2 linked regions of the Arabidopsis thaliana genome follow. The protein of the gene in region 1 interacts with the protein of each later gene in a pairwise test. Each region holds a gene or a part of one and is shown on either strand. Other genes may lie near its edges.

What was found.
Region 2: the proteins of HB-2 (region 1) and AT1G08590 interact in a two-hybrid assay, tested with the Arabidopsis thaliana proteins (one study listed by BioGRID).

What each region holds. Positions count from the first base shown.
Region 1 is NC_003075.7:9,447,042-9,451,620, forward strand, and holds HB-2 (homeobox protein 2), read left to right. Parts: upstream 1-2,072; 5' UTR 2,073-2,249; coding exon 2,250-2,409; intron 2,410-2,512; coding exon 2,513-2,811; intron 2,812-3,079; coding exon 3,080-3,159; intron 3,160-3,247; coding exon 3,248-3,563; 3' UTR 3,564-3,864; downstream 3,865-4,579. UniProt on the Arabidopsis thaliana protein: Probable transcription factor involved in the negative regulation of cell elongation and specific cell proliferation processes such as lateral root formation and secondary growth of the vascular system.
Region 2 is NC_003070.9:2,716,846-2,723,095, reverse strand, and holds AT1G08590 (Leucine-rich receptor-like protein kinase family protein), read right to left. Parts: upstream 4,559-6,250; 5' UTR 4,238-4,558; coding exon 1,148-4,237; 3' UTR 816-1,147; downstream 1-815.

The sequences.
Region 1 (4,579 bases):
TTTATTTTATTTTATTCTGATTGATAGAAACTGGAAAGTAAGATGAATTGGACATTAAAAAAAAAAAAAATCCCTTTAAATTTGAGCTAATTATAGCAACTAGTCAGATCCTTCTTTTTTTTCTTTGAACAGAAAAAGAATCGCCAAAAAAAGAAAAAGATGTACTTATTTAGCGAAAATATTTTTCGTAGTAAAAAAACTTCTTTCAATATCTTTGCTTGAATGTGACCATTTCTATTGCACATACAAAAAAACGACTATAAAAAGGACCCACAGTGATTATGAAAATCAGATTGACGAAAAGTTTGTGTGTCTGATTCCAATCATATTGATCCAATTCATTCATCATATTCGATGGTTGTCAAAGCATATAGCTGGATTAAGTGGGGCACAACACTGAAAACGTTTCTCAACCGTATGATGTCATTTCAGCCTTTGGTTTTCTCAACGTTTAATCGGTGACCGTCAATTTCTTTTCAATCTCTATAATCATTTCTTCTTTTGGCGTGTCACTGGGACCTTCACTGTCAATGCTGAATTAATCTCCTTTAAGGATTTGAAGGCAAGAAAAATCTTGTTGCAACTAATAAAAGGAATCGATTTTGATGCTCATTAATCGACCTTTATGACCAAAATGGGTCTATATGAAATAATTATATGATTTGACAAGTAACCATTTGATTTACAAATTATTCAACGATTTAGCATTACAAAAACATCTAACCATGCTTAATGTATGATGTTATTCATTTTAAAAAGTCGAATGAAACCCATGTTTATCTCAATGCATGATTTAATAATTTTATTATACATGCACATAATTCTACATTTTTAATTAATTTTATTAGTTTAATAATAATAATTAATTTTCTTTTTTTACACTTGTTATAGGTGAGAAATGAAAGTTATCATAATACAAAACATCAGTTTTTATAAAACCAAATAAAACTCAAAAATCATTCAGACAAATAAGTTTATGGACTTATGGTATATGATGATACTCTCTCAACATCCTCATTAACATCATCACTATTAAGTTAACAAAAAGAAAAAGAAAACATCATTATAAGTTATTAATAAGTTTAAATAGTAGTATTTTATATTCTGGTACAATGTACTGTTTTTGGTCATTAAGTGGTTCAACGACAAAAGTAAAACTCATGCGGTCGACCCATGCGTTAGAAGAAGAAAATCTGAAAAGAAGTTTGAATTCTTTAATTTTTTCATAAAAAGAAGTTTGAATTCAATTCAACCGTTTTTGTTTAGTTCTTCTTTAATTAACTTTATCACTAATGTTTAAAAGTAAAAGGTTTTTAAAGTGTGCAACAAGCGTGACTCTTTGGCCTTTAGAGTCATCAAGAAGGGTAATCATTTTTTTTACTCTTTCTCGACAATAGCAATCAAATTATCATTCCCACTTTTAATAATCTCATAAAATAAAGTCAATCATAGTTAAAATTTGATAAATTCCATGGAAATGATAAAAATTTGATTTTACTATTGTTGGATGTGCAATTGTTCATGGTAACTTACTAATTTATATGCTTTATTAGTTGCAGATAGTGATATATATCGAAAAATGAAAGATCTAATTCCAATAATTGTCAAAGAGGATTTCTAAATTTCTGTTTGACTAGGTCATATATTCTCACGACTCAACGATCTAACCAATCACCTACAACAGAAAATTTGGTTGAAATAAAACGAAAAGTGATAAGTCCAAATGTTTAAAACAAAAAAAAAGTAAACAAAAGGCAAAATAAGATAACTACGATTAGATTTTGTTCTCGCCTTATGAATATCCTAAAAATTATCTATTAGTGATAGTTTGATAATCATCTTTGACTGAGAAAATTGATGTCACATAAACATTAATATAGTATCAACATTAATCATTAATGATGCGACTATAATTATTATTTTATCACAATTTCTTAGATTTGATAATTTGTTTAGGTTTGAGAGAGTTATATAGAGGGGGACAAAGAAGCAAAGTTTGTGATTATAAAATTATTTCCATTGAACTAAAGTTTTCAATAGTTTATTCTTGACTTTAATAATAATAACTATTTTGCCCCCAGCTAGTCACATACTCATGATTGCAAAATCTCTCTCTCTCTCTGCCTCTCTATATATTAACCTTTCTTCTTCCTTTACTTTCTCATCTTCTATCTCTCAAAAGAAAAGCAGACAACTTTATTTGCAAAAACAGAGTTTTTTTTTCTTATCTTGAGAAAGTTCAACAGAAGATGATGTTCGAGAAAGACGATCTGGGTCTAAGCTTAGGCTTGAATTTTCCAAAGAAACAGATCAATCTCAAATCAAATCCATCTGTTTCTGTTACTCCTTCTTCTTCTTCTTTTGGATTATTCAGAAGATCTTCATGGAACGAGAGTTTTACTTCTTCAGGTACTTCATCGCTTTCTTCGTTCCTCTGTTTTTTTTTATTTTTCCCCGGAAAAAACCTTAAAGGTCTCACCTTTTACTCTACTTTTCAATCTTATGCATGCAGTTCCAAACTCAGATTCGTCACAAAAAGAAACAAGAACTTTCATCCGAGGAATCGACGTGAACAGACCACCGTCTACAGCGGAATACGGCGACGAAGACGCTGGAGTATCTTCACCTAACAGTACAGTCTCAAGCTCTACAGGGAAAAGAAGCGAGAGAGAAGAAGACACAGATCCACAAGGCTCAAGAGGAATCAGTGACGATGAAGATGGTGATAACTCCAGGAAAAAGCTTAGACTTTCCAAAGATCAATCTGCTATTCTTGAAGAGACCTTCAAAGATCACAGTACTCTCAATCCGGTAATTTTTTTCTTCTTTTACTTATTGTTTCACCCGAGAAAGTTTGGTTTTACTGGGAAAATTAATGGCTATGATAAATTGTGGAAACGAAAAAAGAACGCGTTAATGAAATATTCACATTAAAATGACTATTGTTACATGTTGACCAAAGAAAAAACATTACTACTACTATTTGTTTCGGTCTCTCATAAATGCAGATATTAATTTATAAATGGCATTTTGGTAAATGTAGACTGATATCAAGGTTTTTTTCAACTTTTTTTCACAGAAGCAGAAGCAAGCATTGGCTAAACAATTAGGGTTACGAGCAAGACAAGTGGAAGTTTGGTTTCAGAACAGACGAGCAAGGTAAATAAAACACACACAAACAAAAGATCTCTCTATTTGCCTGATTTATCTATTTTCTTATAAGGGTATTTTGGTAAATGTTTAACAGAACAAAGCTGAAGCAAACGGAGGTAGACTGCGAGTTCTTACGGAGATGCTGCGAGAATCTAACGGAAGAGAACCGTCGGCTACAAAAAGAAGTAACGGAATTGAGAGCACTTAAGCTCTCTCCTCAGTTCTACATGCACATGAGCCCACCCACTACTTTGACCATGTGCCCTTCATGTGAACACGTGTCGGTCCCGCCACCACAACCTCAGGCTGCTACGTCAGCGCACCACCGGTCGTTGCCGGTCAATGCGTGGGCTCCTGCGACGAGGATATCTCACGGCTTGACTTTTGACGCTCTTCGTCCTAGGTCCTAAGTCTTTTTACTTGCAACCAAAGGGCATTTTGGTCGTTTTTTAAGTTTCATGGACCAGATATGCATGTAGTTGTTAACATGTATGTATTTTCTTAGAAAGAAAGAAAAACAGATTAATATTTTTCTAGCTTAAACCAACATATATGTGTCATGCTAACAAGTAACAACAAATATTTAGAGCCAATGCTATCAGATATTATGACTTTGAAATCATTTTGTTTTGTTTTGTTGCAATAAATATTTTGGACAAAACTATCACAAGAAACTTTATTGCAATAATATTTATAGTGTCTAGCGAGTAGCCACAAACCAAGAAGTACAATTGATGTAGGAAATGCAAAAGAAAATTAAATGGTCCAAATTGTTTCATGTGGCTATGTGAAAAATATTAAATAGTGGGCTAAAAATAGTTGAAATTTCTAAAAGTTTTTCCAGGATTTTTTTTTTTTTTTTTTTTGTTAAACTTAAAAACTTAAAACTTATACTTTGGGCCCAAGTGTTCCTGGCATTACCATTACAACTATAAGTGAGAAAGAGATTACCATATGTCATACATGAGTATGGGCAAAGTTTAGGCCTTATTGAACATGTAGGTTAGGCTATGGGCCACTTCTTGGGTTTGAAAGGTTAACGCAAGTGCTTATCCCCACTACATGTTAAATTTAAAACTCTGATTTTTCAATGGTGTTGAATTGGACTGCTCTGAGATGTTGAAAATGCTAGATGATCAATAGGATTGGATACGTTTAACGTATTTAGGATATACTAGGCCATGAAGTAGTAATATTTGTACTAATTGTCTTGCTAAAAAGGTAAGAGCATGAGGGTTCATGTTTTCCTATGTAAGCAGCTTGGTGTCGGATTTACTCTCTTTGGAGAGTAGCCTCTTCTCATCGGAGCATTGATCTATAACGTTTTAGCCGCAAAGAACAAAAACCCCGAAAAAGATGATCTCATGATCATGTTCAAATCTAGAAACATAAAGAGGGGTATCAATCTGTTTATACTTCACATAGA
Region 2 (6,250 bases), on another chromosome or scaffold:
TTTAATTTTTTTTCTTTCTCAATCGGACTTTAGTTGAGTATATTTCGACGTTACCAATGTTAGTGAATAAACGTTATCGATGTTAGCGAATAACAACATATACAAAACCTCAAATGAGAGGTTTATCGAACCAGATTAACTAAGCATATATTTCAATTTCAAAAATCTACCAAATAGCAAGTAGGCACGTAAAGACCATAAACTTTCGGTGAAGTTGATTTTTATCAATATCAAGACAATTTCTAATCGTGAAAAAGAATTAGAATATAATTAAAATTTATGTTTAATTTTGCAATTTTGATTTGTATTTTATTAGTTATTTTCTAAAGTTATATTTTTTTTAGGATTGTTGTCACTGAAAATTTTAATATGTTTAACCAGCCTAGGGTTATTTTTTCTCTGTTGGCATATGTAGTTTTACCATTTTTTATAAAATTTTATGATAACAAAAAGAAAAAAAAAAGAAGAAGAAGGTAACTTGACCATTTGCTGTATATTTAATTATCTTTTGTCCCCAAAAAAATTTATATAACCATTTGGTATATATAGCAAACTCATATTTAGCATGAAAAACCAATAATTGTATTCACTCTATTTTGAGTATATCAGAGATTATTGCCAAAGACTGATTCTCATAATTACAAAATCTCGTTTTTGGATATTTGACTTTGTCATATATAGACTATAGTTGATGTAAGCAATTGCGAATCAAAAATTTTAACCGGAAATGGAAACAAATTCAGAATAGAAGAAATTAATCAAGAACATATACAATATATTTAACTTATATTTCGTTCATAAAAATTCATTTATAGAAAAAAATCAAATTTTTTTATTTATAATTATTGTATCATAAAAGATAATATTTCTCTGTGAATTGAAAGATTAATATTCCATTAAAACAAAACTAATTAAAATCTTTATTTATTATTTTTTTAGCCTCTGGTAACTACAATTTGCTGGATCAGCCATCAACAAGGGGCCTATTACAATTTTGAATCATGTCATTTGGTTCAATGGGCTTTAGTGCACCCATCAGATTTGAAAACATGGGTTTTTGATTCAGCCCAAAGTTAACTTGTTAGCCCAATGTTAAAATTAGCCCCAGCTGATGAAATGACAAAACTACCCTTATCGCCTCCGTCATCTAAATCAGCCCTACCACTGGCGAGTTTCTGAAAATCGGCAAATCCCCGGCGACTTGGCAAACACTTTTCCGGCGTGGCTTCGCCTCCGCGAGCATTGTGATGACGTCTCTAATCGATGGTCTATCCTTCGGTAGCTTCGCGGTGCAGAGAAGAGCGATTCGCAGTGCCAGGAGCATCTCTTCGATCACGTGTTTACAATCTCCGGCGATGCTCGCGTCGATCACTTCTTCCAAGCTCTCGTTCTTCTTCACCTTCCTCCGAATCCACTCAACCACGTCAATCGAATCCTCAAACGAAGGATCTATCGGCATTTTCCCAGTCACCAATTCCAGAAGCACAACGCCTAGACTGTATATATCACTCTTTTCGTCAATCTTCAGTGTGTATCCGTACTCCGGCGCTATATACCCGTAAGATCCAGCCACCATAGAAACGGTCTCGTTCTTATGAAGCATCATCTTCGCCAATCCGAAATCTGCTATCCTCGCTTCAAGGTTTGAATCGAGGAGGATGTTATTAGACTTGATGTCTCTGTGAATGATCGGAGGATAGCAATCGTTGTGCAAGTAATTGAGACCTTGAACGACTCCGACGGCGACATTGTATCGTGAGAGCCAATCTCTTAGTAAGAATTTCTCATCTTTGGAATGCAAAGCAGTTCCTAGGTTTCCATTGGGCATGTACTCGTATACCATCATCACTTCTCTCTCGTTGTGAACGTAACCTAGAATCTTCACAATGTTTCTATGTCGTAGACCACCAAGTAGGTTCACTTCTCTGAGTATGTCGTCCTCTTCATCTTCTTCTTGATGATGATCTTCGATATCATTTTGTGGTGATGGTGATCTCCACAGTTTTTTCACAGCTACAGTGAGTAATGGCCGTCTCATGACTTCTGCTTTGTAAACAATCCCTATGGCTCCCATTCCAATGATGTTTGATTCTTTGATATGTGATAAGATGTCTCCTGCAGTGAAGCACAGTCTCTGGAAAGCCACGAGTCTCCATGGCCATTCCTCCCGAGGTTTCTTGCAGAATATATACTCTCTAGCAAAGTTGCTGTAAAGATCCCATCTTGTGTATATCCATCTCCCTGCCAAGAACATCATCCCCATAGCCACGATGACTGAAGTTCCAACAATGAACCCGAAGACTGCGTGATTCACGTGAATTCTCCCTGGATTTCGGCCTTTTGCTGACAAAGCTAGGCTCTTAGAGCAAGGTGGTAGAACTCCACCGCATAAGCCATTGTTTCCCACGAGGTCTTTTGGGTCTATGGCTGCAAACAGCATGTTTGAAGGAATGGGTCCGTCGAGTTTGTTGAATGACACGTTTAACATCTCCAGTGTTGGAGAAGCTCCCAAGTCCGCTGGTATATTCCCCGTCAAAGAGTTGTTTGAGAGATCAAGAACAGCTAACATGTGCATCCCGGCTAATGCCTTAGGGATTTCTCCAACCAATTGGTTGCTCTTGAGATTTAGACTCACAAGTTTTTCAAAAGAAGCGATCCTTTCTGGGATTCCACCTGAGAAATGGTTGAAGGAAAGATCGAGGACAGACAAAGATGGACGATCTTGAATCTGGTTAGGAATTTTTCCGGCAAAGTTGTTATGTGAGGCAATGAAGGTTTGAAGATTAGGACTTGAGAAAATGGAGGAAGATAGGGATGAGAGATGATTAAATGATATGTCTATAAATGAGAGTGATGTGGATAAGGCTATATCATCTGGAATTTTACCGGTGAGGTTGTTTTTTGCGAGCTCTAGATGCTGAAGCATTGGTAAGTCACCTGAACCAGCTGGTATAGATCCGGAAATGTGATTTTTCTGGATTCGAACACGAACTAAAGTCGGACATGAGAAGATTTCCTCCGGAATCTGACCTGAGAATGAGTTGTTGAAGAGAATGAGCTTTGTGAGGTTTCTGGAATAGCACAATCCTGATGGTATATCTCCTGAAAGCTTGTTTGATGAGACGTCTAACCACTTCAATGGGGAATTTTTGCCGAGATGCACCGGTAATGAACCCATGAGAGAGTTCTGCCACAGCTCAAGAACCTCAAGGTTTGGTAATTCAGCAATTTTTGACGGAATGATTCCCGTGAGTTGATTCCTCATCAAATTTAGAAGCTGCAGATTCTTCAACTCACCTACTTCCATAGGTATTTCTCCTGTGATCTGGTTATCAGACAGATCAAGAAACACAAGAGAAGTCATACCACCAAGTTCTCGAGGAAGTTTCCCTGTGAGACGGTTCTGGTAGAGATAAACTGTTGTAAGTTGTTTCAGCTGCCCCAAAGAAGATGGAATCTGGCCTGTAAGGTTTCCAACAGCCAAATCAAGGTACTGAAGGCGCGTCAATTTCCCAAACTCTTCTGGAATCTCACCCATGAAGCCATTGTAACCAAGAATAATGGTCTCCAAGGAAGAGAGCTCACCAATCACCTTCGGTACCTTTCCACCAAAGTTGTTACCCGAAAGACCGAGAAACTTCAGATTCTTGAGATTCTTGAAAGAAGAAGGCACTGAGCCCTCGAAGTAACCTCCTCGAAAGTCCAAAACCTCAAGTGTAGTTGCGTTGCCAAGATCTTCAGGTAGAAACCCCGAAAAATTGTTGCTTGAGGCATTGACGTGTGTAAGACCAGTTGCCATTCCTAGACCATAAGGGAAGGTTCCAAAGAAGCTGTTCACACTCACATCAATGACCTTCAAAGACGTGAGATTAGAAAGAGATTTAGGAAGAGAAGACTCAAATGCGTTATTGCTGAGATCAAGGGCTTGCAGAGAAGGGAAGCTCTGAATCTGATCTGACACGTTTCCGCTGAGATTCATGTTGGAGAGAAGAAGCTTAGCCACATAGCCATTTGCATCACAGTGAACTCCTGTCCAATGACAATGAACCAACTCAGAAAATGTTGTGGCATTCTCAGGTCTCTTCCAATCTTGGAGATTATTTGAAGGATCAAAAAGGTCTGACTTGAAGGCCAACAAGATCTCTTGTTCGGAGTTTTGAAATGTTTCAGAAGAAACAAAAGGGAAAAGAGCGAAACCAATGTAATAGAAGAGGAAGAAAAGTCGAGGGATCGCCATTTTTCTCCTCTATTTCTTCACTTTTTGGCTAGTTTTATGGCATTTTTGTGCAACTGAGATTGAAGGTCCCCAAGCGAAGTTGATAATAAGAGAGTGGAAACCAAAAGCTGAAAAACAATGATTAGTCAGAATCTAATTTTATTTAATCTCTCTCAATTATTTTATCATGATTGTGTTTCTTTTTCGTTCGGTGGAATAATATGCGAGTTCCATTGGCGTCATAACAATTTGTATGATAGCAAGTAGTTCGCTTTGTTTCTGCATCTGTGACATTACATAGTAGAAAAAGTGATACAATTTCCTTGATGTTTTCATCTATCTTCGTGTGTTAAATTGTGAATTGTGTTTGAGAAAACGAAATTAGATTATAAGTTTGTTTCATATGCATACCCAAATGCTAAATTGTGAATAAAGTCGAACCGAAAATTTTGAGGAGCACTAATTCCATAACCATATCCTGAAGGATTATCTTGCTGATCTGTGCAATATCAAACAACTAAGCGGTGAGAAAGAAGATTAAAATAATGATAATGGGATATATAATATGAAGAAATCGTGGGTTTCTGAACAGCTAGCTAAATCATAAAACACTGAGTGACTTGTAAAGCTTTGTCCTCATTAGAGATTTGTGGGACAGTGAAACATGGGCAGAGAATGTGTCTCACTTACTGTCCAATATAACTATTTTCTATTCAAAGATGATGGCTAATTAGGCAAGATCAAAGTCTTTTAAGAAAACTACCATTTTAGTTCTACCTCACCAATGATTTGACACAAACAATGTTTTTTTACAAATGATTTAACTTCACTTAAATATGAGTAACTAAAGAACGCAAAGTTTTTATTGGTTATAAGGTTAGTTATATCATCCTTGGCGGTCGAGCTAGGTTGAGTTTCCGCATGTCTTCATTAGTCGGGAGAATGTTTTGTTTCGAATGGCGTCATTAAAAAAACACACATGAAAGATGATGGTCGTGAGAGAATCTTCCCACGTTGTTCCAACATAATTAAAATTAGGAAATAAGAAAGTTCATAACTCCATTGCCAAGTTGCAAGTAGCTAGGAACGTCCCATGACACCTACGTAGAGACTAGAGAGATATACATACATCAAATATATCTACTTACACATGCATTGAAAAAAAAAAATACAAATACATTAATTAAATTATTGCATTCATGTAGACATATATGTTTTTCTAGATCTTATAAACACAGATTTTAATGTTTTTCAAAATACGATTATCAGAATTTTTTTTTCTCTGTATATTAGTTTGAGTTGAGAGATTTAAGGCCATACATATGATATATGCATAAAGTTTGCATATTAATGCATTTTTAGACAAGGAGCTTCAATAAACTATGCATATGACATCAAGACGTAACTGAATATGTAGCCCTAAGTCCGTAACCGAATTTGTTTATATTCGTGTGGTTGCAACTTGTGAGTAAATATGCATGCTGATTGCGTGAAGAACAAAGTAGCATTAAGTGCTCTCACGATATCAAAATAAAGTTTAGAACCATCGAAAAGGGCCATCTATCATTTTTATTTTGTTCTTAAAATCTAAAACATATATATTCGATCGGATATACCCATTAAATGAATGAATCATGTTCACATTAGAAGAATCACCATAATTGATCCCAAAAACTATATGAAACATATTCTCGTGAGTGTATAGACTTTTTGGAGATCGATATCTTAATTAATACATCTAGCACAACTCTATATATTCTTGCGGATTAACATCTAAATTTTACGTACCTCGAGCATATATATCCATTATCGACTATCGAGTATCGACTATCGGTTCGTCCAACACATTTAATTGTTGTAGGTTTGCAAGGTAGATATGGACAGTACCTCTAATTAAAGTTCTTTGTCCTTTCAAATTTATCCTCTATTATCATATTCATAAGAAGGAAAAAATAATTGCTCAAATCTAACTTTATAATATGCCCTTTCATATTTCACATGCACCCATATGGGACTTTTTATCATAATCAACAT